7 linked regions of the Macaca mulatta genome follow. The protein of the gene in region 7 purifies or fractionates together with the protein of the main gene of each other region. This does not show direct contact. Links are inferred from orthologs where the notes say so. Each region holds a gene or a part of one and is shown on either strand. Other genes may lie near its edges.

What was found.
Region 1: the proteins of BCL7A (region 7) and ARID1A purify together in Homo sapiens (affinity purification with mass spectrometry; 5 studies listed by BioGRID and IntAct, counting the BioPlex papers as one, with this or other methods). This does not show direct contact. The link is inferred for Macaca mulatta from reciprocal best matches to the Homo sapiens genes BCL7A and ARID1A.
Region 2: the proteins of BCL7A (region 7) and PHF10 purify together in Homo sapiens (affinity purification with mass spectrometry; 3 studies listed by BioGRID and IntAct, counting the BioPlex papers as one, with this or other methods). This does not show direct contact. The link is inferred for Macaca mulatta from reciprocal best matches to the Homo sapiens genes BCL7A and PHF10.
Region 3: the proteins of BCL7A (region 7) and SMARCD2 purify together in Homo sapiens (affinity purification with mass spectrometry; 5 studies listed by BioGRID and IntAct, counting the BioPlex papers as one, with this or other methods). This does not show direct contact. The link is inferred for Macaca mulatta from reciprocal best matches to the Homo sapiens genes BCL7A and SMARCD2.
Region 4: the proteins of BCL7A (region 7) and SMARCD3 purify together in Homo sapiens (affinity purification with mass spectrometry; 4 studies listed by BioGRID and IntAct, counting the BioPlex papers as one, with this or other methods). This does not show direct contact. The link is inferred for Macaca mulatta from reciprocal best matches to the Homo sapiens genes BCL7A and SMARCD3.
Region 5: the proteins of BCL7A (region 7) and PBRM1 purify together in Homo sapiens (affinity purification with mass spectrometry; 3 studies listed by BioGRID and IntAct, counting the BioPlex papers as one, with this or other methods). This does not show direct contact. The link is inferred for Macaca mulatta from reciprocal best matches to the Homo sapiens genes BCL7A and PBRM1.
Region 6: the proteins of BCL7A (region 7) and SMARCE1 purify together in Homo sapiens (affinity purification with mass spectrometry; 4 studies listed by BioGRID and IntAct, counting the BioPlex papers as one, with this or other methods). This does not show direct contact. The link is inferred for Macaca mulatta from reciprocal best matches to the Homo sapiens genes BCL7A and SMARCE1.

What each region holds. Positions count from the first base shown.
Region 1 is NC_133406.1:214,286,793-214,291,007, reverse strand, and holds the start of ARID1A (AT-rich interactive domain-containing protein 1A), read left to right. Parts: upstream 1-1,415; 5' UTR 1,416-1,467; coding exon 1,468-2,613; intron 2,614-4,215. UniProt on the Homo sapiens protein: Involved in transcriptional activation and repression of select genes by chromatin remodeling (alteration of DNA-nucleosome topology).
Region 2 is NC_133409.1:2,320,296-2,323,795, forward strand, and holds part of PHF10 (PHD finger protein 10), read left to right. Parts: intron 1-434; coding exon 435-590; intron 591-3,500. UniProt on the Homo sapiens protein: Involved in transcription activity regulation by chromatin remodeling. Belongs to the neural progenitors-specific chromatin remodeling complex (npBAF complex) and is required for the proliferation of neural progenitors.
Region 3 is NC_133421.1:73,629,562-73,633,061, reverse strand, and holds part of SMARCD2 (SWI/SNF-related matrix-associated actin-dependent regulator of chromatin subfamily D member 2), read left to right. Parts: intron 1-911; coding exon 912-1,067; intron 1,068-1,134; exon of another isoform or gene 1,135-1,682; coding exon 1,683-1,778; intron 1,779-1,907; coding exon 1,908-2,009; intron 2,010-2,155; coding exon 2,156-2,317; intron 2,318-2,362; exon of another isoform or gene 2,363-2,474; coding exon 2,475-2,572; exon of another isoform or gene 2,573-2,758; coding exon 2,759-2,894; exon of another isoform or gene 2,895-3,060; coding exon 3,061-3,183; exon of another isoform or gene 3,184-3,310; coding exon 3,311-3,412; intron 3,413-3,489; coding exon 3,490-3,500. UniProt on the Homo sapiens protein: Involved in transcriptional activation and repression of select genes by chromatin remodeling (alteration of DNA-nucleosome topology).
Region 4 is NC_133408.1:190,675,212-190,678,711, reverse strand, and holds part of SMARCD3 (SWI/SNF-related matrix-associated actin-dependent regulator of chromatin subfamily D member 3), read left to right. Parts: coding exon 1-183; intron 184-1,943; coding exon 1,944-1,986; intron 1,987-2,805; coding exon 2,806-2,928; intron 2,929-3,045; coding exon 3,046-3,168; intron 3,169-3,418; coding exon 3,419-3,500. UniProt on the Homo sapiens protein: Involved in transcriptional activation and repression of select genes by chromatin remodeling (alteration of DNA-nucleosome topology).
Region 5 is NC_133407.1:116,140,845-116,144,344, reverse strand, and holds part of PBRM1 (protein polybromo-1), read left to right. Parts: intron 1-2,232; coding exon 2,233-2,418; intron 2,419-3,500. UniProt on the Homo sapiens protein: Involved in transcriptional activation and repression of select genes by chromatin remodeling (alteration of DNA-nucleosome topology). Required for the stability of the SWI/SNF chromatin remodeling complex SWI/SNF-B (PBAF).
Region 6 is NC_133421.1:65,012,063-65,015,562, forward strand, and holds part of SMARCE1 (SWI/SNF-related matrix-associated actin-dependent regulator of chromatin subfamily E member 1), read right to left. Parts: intron 875-3,500; coding exon 702-874; intron 206-701; coding exon 104-205; intron 1-103. UniProt on the Homo sapiens protein: Involved in transcriptional activation and repression of select genes by chromatin remodeling (alteration of DNA-nucleosome topology).
Region 7 is NC_133416.1:129,393,272-129,397,371, forward strand, and holds the start of BCL7A (B-cell CLL/lymphoma 7 protein family member A), read left to right. Parts: upstream 1-1,300; 5' UTR 1,301-1,524; coding exon 1,525-1,616; intron 1,617-4,100.

The sequences.
Region 1 (4,215 bases), on a different chromosome or scaffold from region 7:
ATGATCAGTTTTGACTTCAAATCCATTTTGATATTCTGATTCCATTGTTGAATGTGCTCACAACTTGACTTTTTTTTTTTTTTTTTTTTTTTTTAAGGCAAGTAGACCGAAGGCAGCTTTGGTGACTCCACTTCTTTTTAAAGTCACCCTCCTCTGCCCTCTGACTTTAAGTGACAGGCAGTTCCCTCCCCTCTTTCAATTCTGTAAAATGGGGATAATCCGGACCTCATGCCCCCAGAGCCTTGTGAGGACCGGCTAATGAGGGCAGGCGAGTGGGAAACGAATCATCTGAACAATGACCAGTCATTCCTTTGGGCTCGCAAAGAGGGTAAAAAGGCTGGGTCTTTAGCGGGGTCTGTAGAAGGCTTTGAAGACGAAAAGTGCTGTAGAGGTGCTAAACAGCAGCCAACGGACCGGGCCCGCTGCCAGGGGGTCAGGGCTGGGCCGAGGCGGCCGCGGTCTCGGGCTCTGGCCAATTTTGCAGTCGCGGGTAAAGTTCACGCTGCCCGCTCCCCTCGGTACGGCCGGGAGGGGACAGACCTGGATAGGGACGCCGGGAGGGAGGCGGCGCAGGCTCCAGAGATGCGCGGGCTCCGGGCCGGGTTTTCTCCGAAGCCTTCGGCGGCGGCGCTGCCTAGCGAAAGCGGCTAAGGGCCTGCCGCCGCCGCGGCTTGTTCTCTCCCCTCCTCCTTTGTGAGGGGTAGGGAGCGAGTCCGTTCCACGGCCTGCGCCCGCTCCGCTCTCCACTCCGGGTTTGCAAGGCGGCCGCGACGGCGCTGGGTAAAATGGCAGTGCTGAGCCTCGTGTCGGAGTGAGGGGGACTCGGAGGAGAGTGGGGCGCTCTAGCCGCTCAGTCCGGCCGACCGCTTTCTCGCCCGCCCGCTGCCGCGCCGCAGCCTCGACCCAAGCCGCGGCTGGCGAGGGAAGGCAGGGCGCCCGGCCCGGCCCGCGCTCTGACTCTGGCTCCCGGCGCCCGGGCTGCTGCCGCGCGCCCTCCAGCCCGCCCGTCCCGGGTCCCCCTCCCCCCGCTCCCTCCCTCCCTCCCCGCCCCCTCCCCCTCGCCTCCCTCCCTCCCTCCCTCCTCCTTTCTCCGGCAGCAGAAAGCGGAGAGTCACAGCGGGGCCAGGCCCTGGGGAGCGGAGCCTCCACCGCCCCCCTCATTCCCAGGCAAGGGCTTGGGGGGAATGAGCCGGGAGAGCCGGGTCCCGAGCCTACAGAGCCGGGAGCAGCTGAGCCGCCGGCGCCTCGGCCGCCGCCGCCTCCTCCTCCTCCGCCGCCGCCAGCCCGGAGCCTGAGCCGGCGGGGCGGGGGGGAGAGGAGCGAGCGCAGCGCAGCAGCGGAGCCCCGCGAGGCCCGCCCGGGCGGGTGGGGAGGGCAGCCCGGGGGACTCGGCCCCGGGGCGGGGTGGGAGGGGGGGAGAAGACGAAGACAGGGCCGGGTCTCTCCGCGGACGAGACAGCGGGGATCATGGCCGCGCAGGTCGCCCCCGCCGCCGCCAGCAGCCTGGGCAACCCGCCGCCGCCGCCGCCCTCGGAGCTGAAGAAAGCCGAGCAGCAGCAGCGGGAGGAGGCGGGGGGCGAGGCGGCGGCGGCGGCAGCGGCCGAGCGCGGGGAAATGAAGGCAGCCGCCGGGCAGGAAAGCGAGGGCCCTGCCGTGGGGCCGCCGCAGCCGCTGGGAAAGGAGCTGCAAGACGGGGCCGAGAGCAATGGGGGTGGCGGCGGCGGCGGAGCTGGCGGCGGCGGCGGGCCCGGCGCGGAGCCGGACCTGAAGAACTCGAACGGGAACGCGGGCCCTAGGCCCGCCCTGAACAATAACCTCACGGAGCCGCCCGGCGGCGGCGGTGGCGGCAGCAGCGATGGGGTGGGGGCGCCTCCTCACTCTGCCGCGGCCGCCTTGCCGCCCCCAGCCTACGGCTTCGGGCAACCCTACGGCCGGAGCCCGTCTGCCGTCGCCGCCGCCGCGGCCGCCGTCTTCCACCAACAACATGGCGGACAACAAAGCCCTGGCCTGGCAGCGCTGCAGAGCGGCGGCGGCGGGGGCCTGGAGCCCTACGCGGGGCCCCAGCAGAACTCTCACGACCACGGCTTCCCCAACCACCAGTACAACTCCTACTACCCCAACCGCAGCGCCTACCCCCCGCCCGCCCCGGCCTACGCGCTGAGCTCCCCGAGAGGTGGCACTCCGGGCTCCGGCGCGGCGGCGGCTCCCGGCTCCAAGCCGCCTCTCTCCTCCAGCGCCTCCGCCTCTTCGTCGTCTTCGTCCTTCGCTCAGCAGCGCTTCGGGGCCATGGGGGGAGGCGGCCCCTCCGCGGCCGGCGGGGGAACTCCCCAGCCCACCGCCACCCCCACCCTCAACCAACTGCTCACGTCGCCCAGCTCGGCCCGGGGCTACCAGGGCTACCCCGGGGGCGACTACGGCGGCGGGCCCCAGGACGGGGGCGCCGGCAAGGGCCCGGCGGACATGGCCTCGCAGTGCTGGGGGGCTGCGGCGGCGGCAGCGGCGGCGGCGGCGGCGGCGGCCGCCTCGGGAGGGGCCCAACAAAGGAGCCACCACGCGCCCATGAGCCCCGGGAGCAGCGGCGGCGGGGGGCAGCCGCTCGCCCGGACCCCTCAGGTACACAGCTGAGTGGGGAGGGGGCTGGGGCGAGCGTGGTCCTGGGGGTGGGTGGCGGCTGCGGTCAGCGGGCCACAGCCTTGGGCTCCCCTCAGTCTCGGGCCCCCACTGCTGGGGAGCTGCCATTGTCTGGCTCTTCTCTCTTAAAATGGCTGCCTGTCTGCCTTCCTCTCCTTTCCTCCTCCAGCCTTTGTGTCGGGCTTTCCCAGAGGTGTCTGCTTCTCTTGTTCCTCTCCCTTGGTCCCTTCGAACTCCAGGGGTCTTGATGGGGGTGCGGGGCAGAGTGTGTGGGGAAGGGCCTGGCCGGGAGTGAGGGGGTGCTGGGGGCTCAGGTTAGGAGTGTAGGCAGTGGTAGGAACCCAGGAGTTGAATGAACGTTTCTTTGCTCACCTGCCGCTCCTCTCCGTCCCCCGGCCTTCCTCTGGGCCGCCCCCCATCTGTGCTTTCAAAGAGGGCCCCTAGAGCTCGGAGGGACCTCGAGGGAGGGCAGGGGACTGCTTGGGAGCTGCTAGAGGCCGGCTGCGGTTCACCTAGGGCAGCCCTTGCCATCTCCTGTCTTAGGCTCCGCCGGCCCAGTGGCCTGGGCTTCTCTCTGGAAGTGCTGGTAAACAGCTGAGTGATTGGAGTAGTAAGTGCAGATTGCTTTGGTTTGGGATTTGAATTATGGAGGTAAAATCCTTCTGTCAAAGCCAGGAGACAGTTGGTCTTAGGTTGACATCCTATCTGTGATCTGATTGGCTCCCCATCTCCTGCTCTTGGCCATTTATAATTGCCTCTGATGTAATGGTACAACAATCCTGATGAGCTCATAAACTTTTACACTCTGCTTTTCTGCCAGTGATAACCCAAACCATCGCTGCCACTATCTGCCTTTTATTCCAGAGCTGAAATTGGCTGTGACCTTGAGGAGGGAGGTTTAAGTAGCAATACTGTATCAGCAGGAGCAAAGCCTCAGACAGCCTGCCCTTGTTACATTGTGCCCGAAACAAAAGAGGGGGCAATGGCATTTTGCTTGTACCTTGGATTTATTTTGCTTGTTATGTTTTATGCAGCCTGAAATGAATTCTGTGTTGTCAGAACAGTAGCTGAGTTTTTTCTCTACAATGGGTTTGCTGTTTGTTTTGGTTTTGTGACTTTCCTGATGGTATAAATGACTTCTTTGATGGCTCTGAAGATGCATTTGTCTTGAGTAATTTTGACACTGGTTGCTTTGCAGAATTGAAATGATTTTACTGGGGTTTTTATTGAGTGGCAAATGTGGGATCTTTGTGGGTGGGGGAGAAAACAATTTTCGTTTTTTAGTTTTTTTTTTTTAAGAACTGGGAGCTTTCTGAGGAATTTTATATTAGGTTCAAGCATTCTGTGTTATGGAAGGCTGGCCTCATTCTTTGTTTACATGTTGAATCTTGTTAACACTTTCTTTTGTTAATTGAACTTTGGAATAGCAGCTTAATTTAAACGGAAGTTGGTGTCTTTCATGATCTTGAGGGACTTTCTCCTAAAGGCTTGGTTTGGTGAAATTGTTTTTTCCTGGAATAACAAAAAGTCTAGTTTTCTGTTTTGTCATCAGTCATTTTAGAGCTTTGAAATAGAGACTGGCCA
Region 2 (3,500 bases), on a different chromosome or scaffold from region 7:
TTCATTTTTCCTGAAGGACCTTCTTAATGACTTTTAGTACTCAGTGAAAATACCCACACTTATTTGTAACAATATATTTTTGTGTGAAACAAATATGTTCCCTTGTGACATGGAAAATGATGTTGAAGCTGTGTGCCGTATAATAGTAGCTGAAGCGGATAATTGCATTTTTGTGACTTAGGTCAGAAAACAAAGTTGATGAAGGCACTGATATGAATGCAATCAGTTTTATACCATATCATACTTAGAAGAAAGATGAATGATTTTTAACATAAGTTACTTTAGTCTCCACTGGAAAAAACTTTCTTACATTTAGAATGATCTTTTTATTTTTAAATTGATAAGGCTTTAAAACTTTTTTTGAGTATTTTCCATAGTTTTCAAAATCCAGACTCAATTCCAAAGAATCTTTGTTTTTGCCTTTTAAACTCCAGGACAGCTCCTCTGGCAATGTATCTGAAGGAGAAAGCGCTCCTGACAGCCAGGAGGACTCTTTCCAGGGAAGACAGAAATCAAAAGACAAAGCTGCCACTCCAAGAAAAGATGGTCCCAAACGTTCTGTACTGTCCAAGTCAGTTCCTGGGTACAAGGTAGAAGAAAAAAGCCCCTGACTCAGCTTCTTTACTGACCAGCCTCTCTCCCTGAAATGTTTTCACTTGACTTTCACGATTGTGGAGCTTCTGCCTGCTGTACTTCACTAGCTGTTCTTCTATGGTGTGCCCTCTGTCTGCTGCTTTCTTTTGTGCTTTATTTCCTTGGTGGCTTTTCTGTCACTTTTGGCTATGGTTTAGCTTCTGTTTTCTGTATATGTACAATTTATAAGTCTTTTTTTTTCTTTGAAATAATAACCAGGCAAGTATGGGTTTTTAAAACATTATTTCATAGGCAGAAGTTTATATTTTCTTTCCTTGGAGTAAAGATCATAATTATTTGGCATTTTAAATGCCCCAGCATTTAGTGTAGCTAAAGCTGCTGAGCTGAAGTATGAGTGGGTATACTGTTAGACTAAGTTGCATTTTTTAGTGCCTTTCATTAAGAAAGATCTGGGTTTAATCTAAGGATTACTTGATCCATATGCTAAATTTAGCTAACTCTGGGATAGAAAATAATAAAACCTGTTATTTACATTGTGTGATTTTTAGCATAACCTTGGTAAAGAGCCTATATGATTCTATGACAAGAATTAAAACATACTTGTTAACTTGTTGATCTGATTATCCTCAGAGTAAAGTTGTAGGTTGTCAGCAACTATTATTATATTTTGAACGTTTCCTCCCTCTGTCTGCCCCTCCCTTTTCTTTTGAAGAAAAGGTGAGGTGAGAGGTGTGTAGCCTTATTTGCATATAGGGATTTAAGAATATCATAAAAGGAAGAATTAGCTGTACAGTTTCATATTTGGGATGGTGGTAGTAAAATATACTACCTTTTGATTCTTTGGTCTGAAATGTATTAGAACATGCTTTTATTGCACTTATGAAGGTGTATTGAAGGAAAATTTTAGAGTAAGCTGATGAGGAAGTTTTGCCAAGTGAAATTGTTAAACACCTTGTATGTCAGAACTGTGATTGTGATAAATAATTCACAAGAACAGGCTGAAGTTAGTCACCTTTCCGTCAAACTAACTAGAACACGTTCTAACATGTTCATTTACCTTTCTTCAAGTAAAAAAAGTGACCTATTAGTGTATTTCATGTTTTATTAGAAAATGCTTTTATGTAAATAACTTAAATTTTTTTTTTTTTTTGGTAGCCTGTAGCAAGCAAATTTTAAGCTTAATTGAGCAAGGGTTGGCTTCCAAGGGTGGCTGCAATAGGCTGCAGCTATGTGATTTTTGTACTTGTTTTTACATATAAAGCTTATCTAATTTCTTTAAATATATAAACTAATGCTTAATAACTGAAAGCAAGTGAGCTCCAAAGATGAAATTTCAGAAACAGTGTACATGAATGAGTGTGTTCTACTGGTCTGCTAAGAGCTTTAAATGGAAGTGGCCGCTCAAAGCACAGTGTCCTGTTAACTCTTGAGTGCTAAGTAGATCTTTCCAACAGTAAGCTTGATTGATCATGGGTTAAAAAGAGAGAATATTGAAATAGATGTTTTAATACAGGCTGGAAATGAACTATTTAACACTATCATTGATTTACTATACAAGAAATCATATAGATTAACTGAACCTAATAGTACTCAAGTAGGATATGCAAAATTTATATTTTACATAATCTGTGAACATTTTTAGTACCTAAAAATGTTTCAGGTATTTCAAAGATGGGAACAACCAGTATCTAGTCATACATTAATGTGAACAGGTTTATTAAAAGTTAACCTCTTTATAAAAAGTATTAATAAACCAAGATGTGCCTAAATATTAGGGTACTTCAAGCTAAAGGTCATGTTTTATATATATATTTATATATATATATAAAATATGAGATTCAAGAAAGTAATGTATCTGTCGGGTTGCTTAATAAGATTCACTAGTGCTTGCCCTTAATTCGTAGGACCGTATTGTTTAGGTTACATTAACCTGAAATTTAAAGCATAATTATTAGGATTCCAGCCTATAAATATATAATTAAAATCTATACTATATTATTGCTACCATGAAAGTCTTATCTTTGGCTGTTTTTCAAGTAGAAAAGTAAGTGTACTGTGAGCCTTTTATTTGAGATGCTGAGAGCTATTAGGATGAGTATTTCAATTTTCTTGTCAGTAGTGAAACTGATGATGTTGCAGTTATTTGAAGTAGAACTGATTGTCTCAACCAGACACACATGGGAGTGTGTTCCATTGGCCTTGGGGAGAGTGCTGCACATTAACCCCTCCCTCAACTGTGCAATCCACTGAGACTGGCTTCTCTAAGCCACGGTTGTTATCTGCTGTGTGAAGTCCTGGATGCCAGCACTGTGGCTTCTTAGAGAGGGCAGATGCTTTGTATATTGAGCTGCAGCATTCATCACAGAAAATGCTACAAAGCTGTCTCTCTTCCCCTTCTCTCATGTTGCCCTGTTTTCCTCAAGATGAAGACTGTTGGGTAAGAAAAACTAAGTGATTTAACAAAGCATTATGATTTAAACTTAGAAATAAACCTAGAATTTTTTGGTGTCCCTTTATCATAGGTGTTTAATGTATATTTTAATGATTGTAGAACTTGAATTGCTCTAGAATGTGAATGACTACCCTTGTGTTTTATTCCTTTTGGCTTTTGTTTTGTAAAGAATCTCCTATGAGGAGTTCTGTTTTTAGAATTTAATATTGTTTGGTTACTTCCCTGACTTTAGTGAAAGATATTAGAGTATTTACTATGCCAGTATCTAACTTAAACTATGAGTATTAAATAAGTATATCTTTTACATTTAGTACAGGTACCATAACCAAAAGAGATTTCTTAGTTTTGATGGATTAAGAGATAGCATTCTGCTGTATATTATGGCAGGTACAGATATGATTACAAAACTGAACCAGAATTTGGATTATAGAAGTGCACTTCCTAGCTGTTTTTT
Region 3 (3,500 bases), on a different chromosome or scaffold from region 7:
TCTCGCTCTTTCACTCAGGCTGGAGTGCAGTGGTACAATCTCGGCTCACTGCAACCTTCACATCCCAGGTTCAAGCAATTCTCCTTGCCTCAGCCTCCCGAGTAACTAGCATTACAGACGCCCATCACCACGCCTGGCTAATTTTTGTATTTTTAGTATCACCATGGTGCCCAGGCTGGTCTCGAACTCCTGACTGCCTCGGCCTCCCAAAGTGCTAAGATGACAGAGCCACTGCACCCAGCCGAGAAACTTTCCTTAATAATAATCTAGAACCGTCCTGAGTGGGGAAGGCTTTCCAGGAGACTAGGATATTTTGGGGCCGTGATGGGTGTTTGGGTATCATGTAAGATGTGAGCCAGAGGCCTCCGCGTTGCCATTGCACCAGTTCCACTGTGCTGGCGTTGTTGGTGATGCATCTCTTTCCCCATAAAATGGTGAGTTCCGGCCGGGTGTGGCGGCTCACGCCTGTAATCTCAGCACTTTAGGGGGCCGAAGTGGGTAGATCACCTGAGGTCAGGAGTTCGAGACCAGCCTTGCCTTGCCAACATGTTGAAACACCATCTTTACTAAAAACACAAAAAAATTAGCTGGGCATGGTGGCATGCACCTGTAGTCCCAGCTACTCAGGAGGCTGAGACAAGAGAATTGCTTGAACCCAGGAGTCAGAGGTTGCAAGTGAGCTGAGATCACGCCACTGCACTCCAGCCTGGGTGACAGAGTGAGACCATGTCCTAAAAAAAAAAAAGGCTGGGACTGGGACTTACTACTTACTTCTGATTCCCAGTGCCTGACAAGGTGCCTGGCTGGCCCATGGTGCTCAGTATTGATTGTTGAATGTTCATATCAGAAGATGGCGTAGCAGTGTCCCAACGTCTTGGTCCACTTCCAGTTGATTGTCTTTCTCTCTTTAGCAAAAGCGAAAGCTTCGGATCTACATTTCCAATACGTTCAGTCCCAGCAAGGCAGAAGGCGATAGTGCAGGAACTGCAGGGACCCCTGGGGGAACCCCAGCAGGGGACAAGGTGGCTTCCTGGGAACTCCGAGTGGAAGGAAAACTGCTGGATGATGTGAGTTGGGGAGGGAGGTATCTGGAGGGAAGGAGGCCTGTGTGGGTTTAAGACTGGGACCAAAGAGTTTGAGACTAGCCTGAGCAGCAGAGCCAGACCCCGTCTCTACAAAAAATTTAAAAATTAGCTGGGTGTGGTGCATGCGTCTATAGTCCCAGCTACTGGTAAGGCTGGCGCAGGAGGATGGCTTGAGCCCAGGAGGTCGAGCTTCAGTGAATTATGATCACACCACTGCACTTTAGCCTGGGTGACACAGTGAGATTGCGTCTCAAAAAAAAAAAAAAAGACTGGGCGAGACACTTGGGCGCTCCCAGAGAAGTCCTGCCATAGAGAGGGGGCACTGCTCCAAGCCCATTGGAGGTTGATTTGCGTGGTTATTACAATGTTCCTGCAGATGGCAGTCGAGTGTCTCCAGGAAGTCCCTCGTGGGCTGCAAGAGGGCGCCATTTCCCTGCCTCCAGTCTGCCCAGAGTCCTGCTTCCATTCTTCAGGGCCCCAGGAATCTTCAGTACCCTGAGCTCCAGGGCTGAAATGGGGCTTCTTGTTCTTGGGATTTAGCATAGCTTGAGATTTGAGAGCTCAGCAGCACCATCTCACACCCCTTTCCATCTCCAGCCTAGCAAACAGAAGAGGAAGTTTTCTTCATTCTTTAAGAGCCTCGTCATTGAGCTGGACAAGGAGCTGTATGGGCCTGACAATCACCTGGTGGAGGTGAGAGTGGGCCTGGGGCAGAGGCAGGCTGACATGCAGGTTTGGCAGGGAAATGGCCTCAGGGCCCTTGGGAGGCCCTGTGTTCATGCCCACCCCCTTGGTGATAAGCCATGTTCCCCTCCCTGCCAGTGGCACCGGATGCCCACCACCCAGGAGACAGATGGCTTCCAGGTAAAACGGCCTGGAGACCTCAACGTCAAGTGCACCCTCCTGCTCATGCTGGATCATCAGGTGACAGAGGCCCTGGGGTCATTTCTGGGGCCACAAGGACCCCTCAGGAGGGGAGTTGGTTCCTATAAACCTTCCTGTCCCTGCCCTATTTTCCCGCTTTGTTTTACTGCAAGAACCCATCCTGACTCCCCTCCATCCAACTTTAGCCTCCCCAGTACAAATTGGACCCCCGATTGGCAAGGCTGCTGGGAGTGCACACACAGACGAGGGCCGCTATCATGCAGGCCCTGTGGCTTTACATCAAGCACAACCAGCTGCAGGATGGGCACGAACGGGAATACATCAACTGCAACCGTTACTTCCGCCAGGTTAGCCAGATGCCAGCCCCCCTGTTATCTCAGCCCTTGCCTTGCCTGCTGGGCTACTTCTTGGCCACAGCCTCCAGACTGCTGCCCTCACTGGTCCTGGAATGGTCCACTCCCCTGTGCCCACAAGGCAACGCTGAGCCTTTGGTATTTCCTCCAGATCTTCAGTTGTGGCCGACTCCGTTTCTCCGAGATTCCCATGAAGCTGGCGGGGTTGCTGCAGCATCCGGACCCCATTGTCATCAACCATGTCATTAGGTAAATGCAAGGAGCGGGACAGGAAGGCTCTTTTAACAGCAGATTCACCCTTGGCTTGAACTGAAGCCAAAGAGAGCATCAGGTTTCTTGCTCCCTGAGTATGTGCAGAGAATGGGCCCTAGCTTTGGCCCAGGTGGGCAGGATGAAGACAGCTATGTGCCTTCCCTCCCCATGTGCTGCCTGCAGTGTGGACCCTAACGACCAGAAGAAGACAGCCTGTTATGACATTGATGTGGAGGTGGACGACCCACTGAAGGCCCAGATGAGCAATTTTCTGGCCTCTACCACCAATCAGCAGGAGATCGCTTCCCTTGATGTCAAGGTGGGCCCTCTGGCTCCACAGCTTCCTCTGGGGCCCAGGATTGGAGTGGGCTGGATCTGTCCAGCATTTCCATACATGTAGCACCTAGGGGATGGGATGGGAACTCTGGCTCAGTCATTTGCATTTAAGCTTTGGGGGCAGAGTCTGACACATGTACCCTCTCCAGATTCATGAGACCATCGAGTCCATCAACCAGCTGAAGACCCAGAGAGATTTCATGCTCAGTTTTAGCACCGATCCCCAGGACTTCATCCAGGAATGGCTCCGTTCCCAGCGCCGAGACCTCAAGGTGTAGTCCTCTTTCCCGAGGGGATTCCTTTGTAAAGCTCTGGGTGATTTTTACCCACAGCAGTTCCCAGGGTGGGTTGGCCCAGGGCTGGGGATTATGCTATGGCTTTCCTTCTGGCTCTTTGCAGATCATCACTGATGTGATTGGAAATCCTGAGGAGGAGAGACGAGCTGCTTTCTACCACCAGCCCTGGGCCCAGGAAGCAGTAGGCAGGCACATCTTTGCCAAGGTGAGGCGCTGCCTTGTTTTCCCTCCTTTGGCCCTGAGTAGTAAACGCCTGAGCTACTTGGTCTCTCCCTTCTCCAGGTGCAGCAGCG
Region 4 (3,500 bases), on a different chromosome or scaffold from region 7:
GCCCCACCAGGGGGCGCCCATGGGCCCCCCGGGCTCCCCCTACATGGGCAGCCCCGCCGTGCGACCCGGCCTGGCCCCCGCGGGCATGGAGCCCGCCCGTAAGCGAGCAGCGCCCCCGCCCGGGCAGAGCCAGGCACAGAGCCAGGGCCAGCCGGTGCCCACCGCCCCCGCGCGGAGCCGCAGGTGAGTGGGAGGCCCGGCGCGGAGGGGGCGTGCAGGGGCGGGCCCTGGGGACCCGCAGGGACCAGGTGAGAGAGTAGCGGGGATTGGAAGAGGTGAGGAAGAATGATTAGCAGGGAGCGAGGCTTCCCGGATCGGATGCCCTCTGGGGAGGTGGGCTTAGGGGGCACCGGCCTGATTCTTTTGTGTGCCCACGGTAGAGACAGGCTGTGGCCGTCGGCAGCCGGTACCGCTTCCCTGCACGTTCCCCTCACCCTTCTCCTTGTCACCTGCTCAGTCCCTCTCTCCACCCATCAGGTTCTGGGTGATGCTTCAGTCTTTGGGTTGGGGGCGGGGCTTCCAGTGGGACTGAGGGCAGAGCTGTAGGACTGTGTTGCCCAAAGTGTAGTTCTCCGCTGAGCCTTCCTGCCAGACCCCGGACTGTTTCAAAGCCACTCCAGATTTTCTCAATGGGACTCTCTGGCCCTGGGGGTGGAGCTTGGGGATTTGCCCTGTGGTAGGTGGTCTCTGCCCAGTTCCGCTCTTAATTCTTAGGCACTCTGGACCAGGTCTGCTCCCAAGCCACCAGGGCCAGCCCATTGCCTTATTTTCCTCCAGCAGCTGGTGGCACCCTTAAAGCCCCTGCTGGCTCCTGGCAACAGCAGTGCCCCTCTGGATTTCAGTATTTAGCCAAATACACATGCTTTTTTTGCACAACAGATGGATTTCTATAAAAGGTGTAATATCAATTTTACCTCATTATTAAGTATTTTTTACACATCAGGTAAAATTCACCACTTATAGGAATCCCATGATGAATTATTTTGTAAAGTGCATCGTCATTTTGTACAGCAAACGGTAATTCCCTGATTTATCTTGTATAAATGGAGAGTTACACAAAGATAATCTGTCTAAAACAAACCAGACCTTTAATGAAATCTGCTTGTTAGCCTTAGATTTCTGCATAGGGAGGGGGTAGTGGTTGAGAACACCACACGGGGGCAGTATGGAGCTATTCTCTAGGCTGCGTTTTCATCTCTTGACCCGCCAAGGTTTTTCTGGGGGTTTTTGGGTTAGTCAGCAGCAGCTAGTGGGTCAGAAAGAGCTCACATCCAGCTGCTACTACCCTGGGCCTAGTCAGTTTGGCCTCAGCCTGAAGTCACACCCATGCACATTCTGGGCGCCTATGGCTGCAGCATGTCCCTCACCTTGTTGCCAGGTAGTCCCAGGGCATGAGTACCCCTGCTCATCAGCATTCTCTTGCAAGCCCAGGGTGCCTGGAAGGGATGCAAGTCCCGCCAGCTTCACACCATCACCTCCCGCTCCATGGATAGGAAGGAAGTCGTCTATCTCCCTCCCTCTGAGCTTAGAATCCTTTGGACAGGGCACCCCCTGCTTTCCAGAAAAGGTCCTCAGACCTGGCTTCCCTCTCCTTTGTCCTCCCTCATCCCCACCTTTCCTCAAACACTTCTGCAGCTCCCATCTTTTGGCAGCACCACCCCCACTCGCCAGTCCCTCCTAAGTCTAAATTTCTCTGTCCCTAAGGATGTGGCAGGTTAGAAGGGGGCTCCCAGGCCAGAGAATGGACGGGTCACCCCTGTGTCCTTAGAGAGGACAGAGCACCAGTTCCACACACCACCGTCATAGCCCTTGGGCGGGCAGACAAGCGGGCTGTGGGAACCCCAGCCAGGCGGGCGGAGATGTCGGGATAATTTAGCAGGTGGCCTCGTTACTCCCAGATCTGTCGCCATGGTAACCTGGTTTTTTCTTTAAAAAATGTACAGTGCCAAGAGGAGGAAGATGGCTGACAAAATCCTCCCTCAAAGGGTGAGTGTCTTTCACAGCAGCCCCCAGCCCACCCCCTACCCTTTGCTGCTCTGCCCTCCCCTCCCCCCTCAAAAGCAGAGCTTCAGTGTCACAGTCACTTTCACTTTTTGTTTAAAAAAACTCATTAGTAAGTGAGGCTCCCTAGGCCAGAGGGAGGGGGTGAGGTGGAGGGAAGCAGCAGAGCCACTGGGGCCAGAACACAGGGGCCTGTCAGGGGGCTGGATCCAAGTGGTACTAAGACAGAGTTGTGGGACAAGAAGGGGGCAAGAGCTAGGGGATCAAAAGCTGCCAGGCAGAATGAAGGGGATAGAAGGTGGCCAGAGATCCTGAGCATCCTAAAGGGACCCAGGTCCAGCTGGATATGGGGGACAGCACAGTTGGGACAGGTGTGGGGGCTGAGCAATGTGCCAGCAAAGAAGAAAGCACTGCTGTCCAACTGTCCCAGGGATTGAGCCCCTACTAGGCACTTTGCAGGGGCCCAGGGGAAGCCCAGTGGGCATATGACATAGAAAATGACAGGATGAGGAGACTAAAGGCTAGTGCTTTGCTGGGTTCCACAGTTGCTACCTCCTCCCCGTGATGATACACAAGGCTCTTCCTAAAGGGAGAAGCAATTGTTATCCCTACACAGCAAGGCCCCTACTGCTGGATAATGGCATCCTGGGGAGAGGTCCTGTTCCCACTGTCAAAGCTCCATGCCCAGAAGTAGGATGGCTCCCCCGACATCTTTTGCACCCTAGGATTGCACAACATGCATACATTCCATGGTACAACCCTGGACTCGAGCCTCTGACTCCTGCCCTGCTCCTCCTCCTCCAGATTCGGGAGCTGGTCCCCGAGTCCCAGGCTTACATGGACCTCTTGGCATTTGAGAGGAAACTGGATCAAACCATCATGCGGAAGCGGGTGGACATCCAGGAGGCTCTGAAGAGGCCCATGAAGGTGCCTTAGTTCGGGGGTAGGAAGGGGACTCTTGAGTCGCGTGACCAGGATGGGGAAGCAAGGTAGTCAGGGTGGAAGCACACAGCATTTGCCAGGTTCTACACTCTATTTCTACAGCAAAAGCGGAAGCTGCGTCTCTATATCTCCAACACTTTTAACCCTGCGAAGCCTGACGCTGAGGACTCCGATGGCAGCATTGCCTCCTGGGAGCTACGGGTGGAGGGGAAGCTCCTGGATGATGTACGTCCCGGCCCAGGTCTCTCCAGGTGTCCTGGGGTGGGCACGGGCTGCACTGAGAACAGAACAAAGTGTCTGCACTAAGGGCTAGGGAGTCAGCCCAGGCTGGGGAGGTGGGGGCAGGCCTAGAGACATTCCAGGTGCAGAGGATTTCATCTAAGCCCACTGCCCTGTCTGCTGCCAACTTGGCCTCCTTCTGCTTCTCCCACCCTGTCCCTGTTCTGCCCCCATGGTTCCTGTTCCTCTCCCACAGCCCAGCAAACAGAAGCGGAAGTTCTCTTCTTTCTTCAAGAGTTTGGTCATCGAGCTGGACAAAGATCTTTATGGTCCTGACA
Region 5 (3,500 bases), on a different chromosome or scaffold from region 7:
ACAACTACATTATTTCAATAGATGTAGAAAAGGCTTTTGGCATGTTAAAAACTCTAGATAAACTAGGTATTAAAGGAACATACCTCTAAATAATAAGAGCCATCTATTACAAAGCCACCCAACATACTGAAATGACCAAAAGCTGGAAACATTCCCTTTGAAAACCGATACAAGAGAAGAATGCTGTCTCCCACCACTCCTATTCAACATAGTATTAGAAGTCCTGGCCAGGGCAGTCAGGTAAGAGAGAGAAATAAAGGGCATTCAAGTAGGAAGAGGGGAAGTCAAACTACATCTGTTTGCAGATGACATAATTCTATATCTAATAAACCCATAGTCTCAGCCCAAAAGCTCCTTCAGCTGATAAACTTCAGCAAAGTATCAGGATACACAATCAGTGTACAAAAATCACTATCATTCTTATACCAATAGCAGCCAAGCCACGAGCCAGATCAGGAACACATTCTCATTCACAACTGCCACAAAAAGAATAAAATACCTAGAGATACAGCTAACCAGGGAGGTAAAAGATCCCTACAATGAGAATTACTCACTGCCCAAAGAAATCAGAGATGACAGAAGCAAATGAAAAAACATTCCATGCTCATGGATAGGAAGAATCAATGTTATTAAAATGGCCATACTGCCCAAAGCAATTTACAGATTCAATGCTAATCCTATCAAATCACCGATGACATTCTTCACAGAACTAGAAAAACTATTTTAAAATTTAGATAGGCACAGTGACTCACGCCTGTAATCCCAGCACTTTAGGAGGCCAAGGCAGCCGGATCACTTGAGGTCAGGAGTTCAAGACTGGGTGACAGAGTGAGACTCCATCTAAAAAAAGAAAAAAAAAAAAAATGTTTCCAGAAGAATAAAATAAATAACATTTAAAATGCTGATTATTAGCTCTTCCGTTTATGGAAAATTAACCTAAGGAAGTAATCAAAAATTTGGGCAAAGCCTTATCCTCAATAAAAACCTTATGATATTTGCAAATGATAGCTTGTACTGGAACTTTTTTTTTTTTCTTTTTTTGAGACAGAGTCTTGCTGTGTCACCCAGTCTGGAGTGCAGTGGTGCGGTCTTGGTTCACTACAACATTCACCTCCCAGGTTTAAGCGATTCTTCTGTCTCAACCTCCCAAGTAGCTGGGACTACAGGCACCCGCCACCATGCTGGCTAATTTTTTTATATTTTTAGTAGAGACGAGGTTTCACCATGTTGGCCAGGCTGGCCTTGAACTCTTGACCTCAAGTGATCTGCCTGCCTCGGCTCCCAAAGTGCTGTGATTACTGGCATGAGCTACTGCTCCCGGCGTGTACTGGAACTAATAAGTTTTACTTAACAAAAATAAAAGTCGGCTGGGCACAGTGGCTCACACCTGTAATCGCACAGTTTTGGGAGGCTGAGGCGGGCAGATCTGAGGTTGGGAGATCGAGACCAGCCTGACCAACATGGAGAAACCCATCTCTACTAAAAATACAAAATTAGCCGGGCATGGTGGTGCATGCCTGTAATCCCAGCTACTCGGGAGGCTGAGGCAGGAGACTCGCTTGAACCTGGAAGGCGGAGGTTGCGGTGAGCTGAGATTGTGCCACTGCACTCCAGCCTGGGCAACAAGAGCGAAACTCCATCTCAAAAAAAATAAATAAAAATAAAAGTCATTTTGAAAAAAGCATTTCCTGTCAGGGCAAGTGTTCATGATATATTAAATATATATACATATATATATAGTTTTTTGTAGAATATACATATTCCATATTTCTTCAATTCTATGACTGCATTAAATGTGTCATATTTGTGTAATAACTTGTTAGTGAAATGAAACACATTGAGAAGCCTTAAGGTGGAAGTGAAGTATATCAGAGATTATCTCTAGAAATACCTGATTTGAAACGACGTATGTACTTCTTTGTGCCTTTCAATATTATCCGAAATGACCATGTGATCATTTATTAGTAAGATGATGTTTTTATTCTATACATCCTTTGTGTAGTTACATATTCATTTAAATTAATGATGGTTGTAATTCAAAAATACAGTTTTGAGTAGAGGCTATTAGGAATGTAAAGATCATACTGTTGCTGATTCCTGCCTTCGCACGTTGCAAATGGAATTAAATGTATTGAATGTATTATTAGTATGTGTTGTTTGAATCCTACATCTGACTCCAGCATCCCTTTGGTGAGTACTTTTTTCCTTTATTTATTTATTTTTTTACCTAAGAAGCTGAAAAGAGTGAAGATTCCTCTGGTGCTGCAGGCCTTTCAGGCTTACATCGCACATACAGCCAGGATTGTAGCTTTAAAAACAGCATGTACCATGTTGGAGATTATGTCTATGTGGAACCTGCAGAGGCCAACCTACAACCACATATAGTCTGTATTGAAAGACTGTGGGAGGATTCAGCTGGTAAGTTTGTTTTAAATCAAAGAACAGTTTAGTGAGATATGACTATTTGACTTCTCCTTGCTCTTCAGGGAAGAAAATTTTAACTCAAATATCTTATGCCTTTCCATAATAATTGTTCAATATATCAATAAATGTAAGTAAGCACCCATCATATGAAAAACATAGGACCTATTGGGCAGTGTCATAGTTGAGTCAAAAGAAATACAGCTTCTTAAAGTCTGGTTGAAATTCATTCGTTCAGTTGATACTTATTAAAAACATACTTTGAGCCAACCTTTCTGTGGAGTGACAGAGATTCAAAAGAACAAAAAGTTCATGTTTTTCCCTTGCAAAACTACTCCAGTAAGGAAGATTATGATCAAAAAAGAAATTATTATAGAATGACATGCCTTGGCTTGGCATTTGTTTTCAAAAAGGCTTTCTAGAACAGTTGCCTTTAAATTGAGACATAGAGTATGCATAGAAGTTAATGAAACCAAAAGTTGGTGGAAATGTGATCCAGGCAGTCCAGTTCTTTGAGCTGTTTATCACATGAAATACTTTTGTATTCCTTCACCAGAGAGGTAAATATGTCCTTCAGTAGTATATGTCTACCCTTACTAAAGTGCACAACTCTAGGTATGTACTAACCAGAGCACAGTGGAGCAGGTCTCATCACCTGTCCTCCTCATTATATATTTTATATGGCTTTTAATATGAAGAAGAGCCTGGGTAACATGGCAAGACCGCTTCTCTAGAAAAAATAAGAAAATTAGCAGGGCATGGTCGCACTTGCTGTGGTCCAGGCAACTTGAGAGGCTGAGGCAGGATGATCACTTGAGCCCAAGAGGTTGAGGGTGTATATATATATGAGGGGGAAATAGTAGCATGCATTTTTTAGGCCTCATTACACTTTATTATTTTAGAGTATTATTTCTCCTATGGATAATTATATTAAACTGTAGCTGTAAAAATAAGCACAGTGCTAGGTTCAGATCATGGCAGAATGGATTGATGGTATATTTCCTAATTTTGCAAAGAATGTGTGATTTCTGAGCTGGACACAGTGACTTATACTTGTAGTCCCAGCTACTCAGGAGGCT
Region 6 (3,500 bases), on a different chromosome or scaffold from region 7:
AGTGAACAACATTCAATAAAAATATTATTTTGGAAAAAAGAATGAGGAAAAGTAAAGTAACAGGTACGGTGATAAAAGTATAGTTAACATATTAAACAGATACCCTTTTAAGTTCATTGTTAAATGAATCTGTGCTTTCCAGGAATTTCCTCTTCTTCTCCTGGTGTCGTTCCTCTATTTGAAGAAGTTCAGCTTCTAGTTTTCGCTGCAAGACAGGATCAGGCTTTACAATCATATCTCCTGTTTTAATGGTTCATACTTTCAAACAGTGTACCAAATAATGTTTTGAACTTTAGATCATTTATTACATGAGTCTAGCTAAGATTTAAAAAATACAAAATGCAGCACAAAGAAATGATTATGATCAATAGGTAAATGTTAAAGAATACTGTTTCAGGCCTGAGCAATTCCTTTGGAAAAAGTATTTAGTAGAGCAGTAAAGACTGATAGGACGCCTCAAAATTCTTAAGTTCACATGTACTTCTTAACAAATATACCTTCCATTACAAGGTTCTATATTATAGTTTTTAATGACAAACTTATTAAACATTTGGGAAAGGTCCACTTCCTTAAACCTCTTCTCCAAATCAGGAACAGTTTAGACTGACATATTTAACAGGTACATTTAGGCATGGTGTAGGAATCACGTCAGCTGGGATTTGTGGTATAGGTCCATTTTATTGAAAGTTTTATGACTTTACCTGATGAACCATTAAGGACTGGACCTGCCGTTTGAGGACCTGCATTCTAGCTGTTGTGACAACTGACCGAACGTCTGGCACCACACTCTCACTAAGAATTTCACTGATGAGGCGGTGGTTTCTCTGGAAACGGGCGGTGGCTGTATGCTTCATTGAAAAGCCATCATCATAATCTGCAATGAACAAATTGTTCTGCAAAGTAGGTCACCAGTAACCATAAAAAGGAGTGTAACATGTTAACACTTAATTATCAAGGAACCATGGCCCTTGCTGGCCTAACAAGGGGACCTGACCAGCGTCATGGGAGCACTGGGCAGTTACTTGATAAAAACCATACAGAGGACGTAATGTGTTCACTGGCCAAGGTAGTAATTTATCTCACAGTCTTTAAGTGATGATGTGTGTCTGAGAAGGCTTTGGCTAAAACATAAATGAGATACAACATGTCTCTTCTGGCTTTGGAATCAATGTGAAAGCTGCATGTGATGGCAGTAATTGAAATTCTGCCCAATGTTTCACTTTCTTGGTAGTGACTTAAGGCATTTAACAACTAACGAACAACATATGAACTGGGCAGTGACTTTATGAAAATGCCAGTTTGTAAAATTATCACAGCAGAGGAAACATCATCTCTAACAATATTCAGTTTCCCAGGCCCTCAAGGAATTTTATAGAAGAAAAATAAATGTTTTGATTCCAAATTTAATTTTTGTCAGTTTACACTTAGCCAGCTGTACGGGTCTGGTTTATATGCTTCTGTTTTGTTTTGTTTTGAGACAGAATCTCACTCCGTTACCCAGGCTGGAGTGCAGTGGCCCAATCTCGGCTCACTGCAACCTCCACCTCCCGGGTTCAACCGATTCTTGTGCCTCAGCCTCCCAAGTGGCTGGAATTACAGGCACATGACACCATGCCCAGCCAATTTCTGTATTTTTAGTAGAGATAGGATTTCACCATGTTGGCCACGGCGGTCTTGAACTCCTGACCTCACATGATACGCCCATCCTGGCCTCCCAAAGTGCTGGGATTACAGGTGTGAGCCACTGCGCACACCCTATATGCTTATTTTTAATAGGTATCTAGTGTTTCCTTAATCTCAGTCTTTGCTCTATCGCCTTCATAGTTTTTCATATATCTACTAACAGCCTGTACTATTGTTTACTTAATATTTTTCTTTAAACTAACTCATTTAAAAAAAAAAAAGCTTTCTCTGTAGCAATACATACAAAACAAATGCTCCTTTTTGACCCACTTAATCACCTCAGTGTCCCACCAGACAGGGAGGAACCATACTTGAGCAAACCTTATTACAGAGGAAACCCTGTTACAGAGGAAACCCCATTACAGAGGAAACCCCGTTACAGAGGAGAAAGCCCGTTACAGAGGAGAAAGCCCGTTACAGAGGGAACCCTGTCACAGAGGGAACCCTGTCACAGAGGAAAGCCTGTCACAGAGGGAACCCTGTCACAGAGGGAACCCTGTCACAGAGGGAAGCCTGTCACAGAGGGAACCCTGTCACAGAGGAAAGCCTGTCACAGAGGAAACCCCATTACAGAGGGAAGCCTGTTACAGAGGGAAGCCTGTTACAGAGGACACCCTGTTACAGAGGGAAGCCTGTCACAGAGGGAAGCCCGTCACAGAGGGAAGCCCGTCACAGAGGAAACCCCGTTACAGAGGGAAGCCCGTTACAGAAGGAAGCCTGTTACAGAGGACACCCTGTTACAGAGGACACCCTGTCACAGAGGGAAGCCTGTTACAGAGGACACCCTGTCACAGAGGGAAGCCTGTTACAGAGGGAAGCCTGTCACAGAGGGAAGCCCGTCACAGAGGGAAGCCCGTCACAGAGGGAAGCCCGTTACAGAGGGAAGCCCGTTACAGAGGGAAGCCTGTTACAGAGGACACCCTGTTACAGAGGAAACCCCGTTACAGAGGGAACCCTGTTACAGAGGAAACCCCGTTACAGAGGGAAGCCTGTTACAGAGGAAAGCCTGTTAGAGGGAACCCTGTTAGAGGCCTTTGTGGTGCTCCTATGTCAGTTTAGCACCTCTCTTATTGTCTTGCACTTAAGCAGTTCCTAAAATTCTCATTATCATAAATACTATAGCTAAAAACTGTTGTTTTTGTAAAAAGTTAAAAAAATTACTTTTCTTTCCTTTTGAGTAATTCCTTTAGGAAATAAACTTCTGAAATTAAAACTATTAGGTAAGATACAGTTTTTTTAAAAACTCTGTAATCTTTCTACTTTTTAAGAGTTTTTCACCTTTAGGGTTATATGTGGTATATCTGTGCTACGTCTGTCTAAGTTATCTGTTTTTGTTATTTTTTATTTTCTTCTTTCATTTATATGGCCCCAGTGTTGACCACAGATGGGGTAATAAGGTCTAAGAATTTGGGCTTGTTCTTCCTTGCATGTAAGTCATCTGCTTCCTTTTTTCGGGGAATGGCTTTTCTAATTATGATCTAATTGAACAGCTATTTATCCCATGAAGAGGCTCTCATTGAACAAAAGCCTTCATTGTCTTGTGTAGATAATTGCACATGCCCTCTTTTTTTTTTTTTTTTGAGACTGGGTATTGCTCTGTCATCCAGGATGGAGGGCAGTGGCATGATCATAGCTCACTGCAGTCTCGAACTCCTGGGCTCAATTGATCCTCCCACCTCAGCCTCAGTTGGAGCAGCTGGGACTACAGGCACAAGCCACCATGCCCAGCTAATTTTTAAGTATTCTGTAGAGACAGAGTCTTGCTGTGTTGCCCAGGCTGGTCTCAAACTCTTGGCCACAAGCAATCCTCCTGCTTT
Region 7 (4,100 bases):
CTAACCTCAAGTGATCCGCCCGCCTCGGCCTCCCAAAGCGCTGGGAATACAGGCATGAGCCACCGCGCCCGGCTGGTATTTGTTTTTTTCTTCATTTTTCACGTCAGGAGTTTGAGTTTCAGAATAGTAAAAAGAAATGCCTAGGAAAAGGCCTGCGGTCCCTCCATTTCCTCAGTAGCGTTTTCCCCAAAGACCAAACCCTCCGGGGGAAACGTCTAGAATGAGTGACAGTTTAAGGCTGCAACCTTGAACTTTCCCGGGACTCAGTTTCCCCAGCTGTGAAATGGCTGCTGTCGGGCTCTCATCTCCAGGCCCGGGGCGCTGACATTTGGGCCACTCTCGGTCTCCCACTTCATTCTGGGAGCGCATTAGCTCTGGTCCAGCCGGTTCCGCAGCTGAACACCAAGACGCGGCACCCAGGTTACCCTGATCATCGCAGATTCCTCCCCAGGGCTCTGCTGGGAGGCCTCAAAAGCCCTCCTTGTAGATGAGACCAGCCCCTAGTACCCGCTAGGGCCATTTGGGCAATAACAGCGCCTGGTCTCAGTCTGGTACTGAAGTCAGGAGTGGCTTAAGGTGAAATCGTGGTCCTCCGGTGAAGCTCAGCGAAGACCCTCTCGCCTTGTTTATGACAAGGCAACTTCTAAGGGGACGGGGGCGGGAGGAAGAGTCCCTGTTACGATGCTGATCATCATTCAGCTTTTGCTGAGCAGAAAACTCTTTAGTACGCAAGGTCGAGAGTCTCTGGTAGTCCGCCTGGCCCCAGGCACCTTCCTACAACCCCAGTTTTCCAAAAGGACAAAGCCTGGGGCAGGCGACGTCCTAGCTCTCATTTGAACAGGGCCGCGGGCCAGCAGAGATGCGCGATGCCCAACTCTTTCCAAGAGCACCTCGCGTCCCGAACCGGCGCCTTCAACTCGGAGAAGTCAAGAGACCTGCAAGAAACTTGCACTACTGCACCCGCCGCCGCGCTCCGGGGGCAGGGCAGGGGCAGCTGGGCTGGGTCCCGGGGAACGCGTCCCCCCCGCCCCGCAGACCGGCTGTCTCCGGTGGACCCCTCGGCACCTGCGGCCTCCGAGGAAGGGTCTGCGCGCACGTCCGCAGGCCCGCCCCCGCCGCTCGCCCGGAGCCGGGGGTCGCCGTGCGCCCTTCGGCACCTCCTCGGGAGGGCGTGCGGGGCGTCCCCTCTGGGGGCGCAGGAGGCCCGGTGGCGCTGCCCGGTGGCCGCGGCGCCCGGAGGCCGCACTGCCGGCGGCGGCGGCGGCGCGGCTCCCCCTGCTCGGTGCAGCTGCCGCCCGGCGCTTGCGCACTGGGCCGGGCGCGCGGCGGCCCCGGGCTTTTTGTGTGTGTGTGTGTGTGTGTGTATGTGTGTGTGTGTGTATGTGTGTGTGAGTGTGTGCGTGTGAGAGTGCGAGTGTCTGTGCGCGAGTGAGTGAGCGGCGGGCGGGCGCGAGTGTGGCCTCCGCGGAGGGCGAGCAGGACCCGGCGGGCGCGCTCCCCAGCCTCCGTCTCCCCGCCGGAACCATGTCGGGCAGGTCGGTTCGAGCCGAGACCAGGAGCCGGGCCAAAGATGATATCAAGAGGGTCATGGCGGCGATCGAGAAAGTGCGCAAATGGTAAGCGGAGGCACCCGCCGCCCCCCCGGCCACCCCGAGCCCGAGCGCGGCTCCGGAAAGCCGCGGGGCGCAGCGCCCCGGTCGCCTGCCCTGGCCCGGCCCCGCCGCGGGCCCCGGGACTTGGCGAGGGCGGGCGGGCGGCGCGCGAGCCGGGTCACCTGCGCCAGGCGGGGGCCGCGGCCGCTGCCCAGGTGCGCTCGCGCCTGTCGCCCACCTGGCGCGGCGGTGGCGGCGGACAGGAGGCGGAGGGCGCCGGGGTCGGGCGGCTGGAGCGGCGGGGCGGCCCCCGCGGCGGCGCTCGGCTCCCGGGAGGGGGGCTCGGGGCCGGCCCCAGAAGCCATTTCGTTTTGTGCAAGTCACATGAAAGCGGCTTCCCGCGCGCCGGGGCCGCGATGCCGGCGGCGGCGGGGAAAGCGCGAGCTCCATTGTGCAGGCTCCGAGCGGGCCGCCGCCGCCGTCTCCTCCCCGCGCGCCCCGGCCCGCGCCCCGCCGCCCTCAGTCGGCCCCGGCCCGCCCGGCCGCCGGCTCCCGCCTCCCGGGCCCGGCGCCCTCGAGTCTGCGGAGTTTGCAAAGCGCGAGCCGTTTAAATTTAGCGCTTTGGGCTGCCTGGAGCGAGGGCTCTCGGCGACCAGGAAAGATGGGGGCGAGCGCCGGGCGCCAGCGGCCAGGGGCGCGGGGCGCCCACGTTCCACCCTACTCTGCGCGGCGCCCCGGGAGGGGGGCTCGGGTCAGCCGATGTTTTTGGCCAGAAGCTGTTGGTCCTGGGCCGCGGCTGCCTCTCCACACCGGGAGCTCGTGTTTGTTTTGCGGAGGGAGCCGTTGTTTTTGTTCTCTGCACTGGGGAGAGGGGGACGCGGCGGCGGCCGCGCGTGGTTTTCGGGTTCACTTTAGCGTCCCCCCGGCGTGGCCCGGTCGATATTAAGGGGATCGAACCTTTTCGCGGCCTCGTCGGGGTCTGCTCGGAATCGGCCCCTGGGCCAGGCCCGAGGCGCGAGCAGATTGCCAGGTTGGGTCAGACTTGTTGAAAACTCCCCGATCCCTGATTTCAACTTTATTGTTTTTTTCCCACGCCTTCACCGGGTCCCGGAGGGAGAGGAGCCGCGGCGACTCTGGCCCCGAGTGTCAGCGCCCGCGGGCTCGTCCCGACGCTTTATTTCGAGCTTGGAAGCCGGGCAGGCCCGGTGGCAGGGGATGTTTACGTTTGGGGGTGTCGTTTCTCGAGTAGCGCCTTGGTCTCTAAAAGCCACTGGGGGCGAGCCTCCGGTGTGGCGGTGTCACAAGTTAGCTGTCCTTTCTGAGTCAAACCCAACAAAAAAGGCAAGAGGAAAATCAATAAAGTCCACGTGCTCCCCGGCCTCCTATGGAAAGGGCTGGCTGCGATGGCCGGATGCCCGGCCGTGGGCTGGGTTTGGCTCCAGTGGGACAAAGAATTTTCAGAACCGTGAGAAGGGGAGGCTTTCCAAAGTTGAGATCCAAGTCGTCGGTGTCTCGGGAGCTCCCCTGGTACGCAGGGTGCCCGGTGCCCAACTGGAGCCATTTAAAAATGGCAGAAACAGCTGCAGGCCAACACACACACGCTGGGAAACAACCCGCAGCCCCCTCTACTGTGGGATTCCCCGCGGGAAGCCCGGAGTTGCTCCCCTCCTTGCCTCAGCCCCTGTGCAAAGAAAGAACTGGTGTCTGTGCCTGGGTCCCTTCTGTCGCCGACCTGGAGGTTGGGAAGCATCCGGCAAGCCGCCTTTCTCTGCTCAAGGAGGCGTGGTGGGGCCTCCTACCCCAGGTTCCCGGCGGGACAGAGGCTCCTGCACCCTGACAGCTGCTCCCGCAGAGCGGCCAGCTGCTCTGCCAGGAGGGCAGATGGAGAGATGGGGCTTCCCACCCCGCGGGCCCCAGGGCGGCCGGCCTGGAGACCTTCCAGCCCGCTGACCCCGCGGGGACCAGGCCTGTAGTTGGGGCTTGTGGGGCTGTGCCTCTGCGCCTCCCTGGGTTTGGGGAAACAACACCTCGTGTCCTCTGAAGACCTCAGGCTTTGGGATCTCATGGTCCAACTTCCAGTTCACTTCCTTGCCGCGACCTTCGGCATACCATTGTCACTTCTCTAACCATGGTGACCCGGGGCTCTCTGCTTGGCTTCCAGGTCCCCTCAGGTTGTTGAGGACGAGTGAGGTCATGCCTCCAAGAGCACCCCGCCCTGGGCGCAGGAGGAGCTGTTGCTCAGTGTTGTAAGGTGGACTTTGTAGAAACTTGGCTTTGAGATTTTTTTTTTTTTTGGCCCCTTCTTTTTTTTTTTTTTTTTTTTTTGAGACGGAGTCTCGCTCTGTCGCCCAAGCTGGAGTGCAGTGGCTGGATCTCAGCTCACTGCAGCTCCGCCTTCCGGGTTCCCGCCATTCTCCTGCCTCAGCCTCCCGAGTAGCTGGGACTACAGGCGCCCGCCACCTCGCCCGGCTAGTTTTTTTTTGTATTTTTTAGTAGAGACGGGGTTTC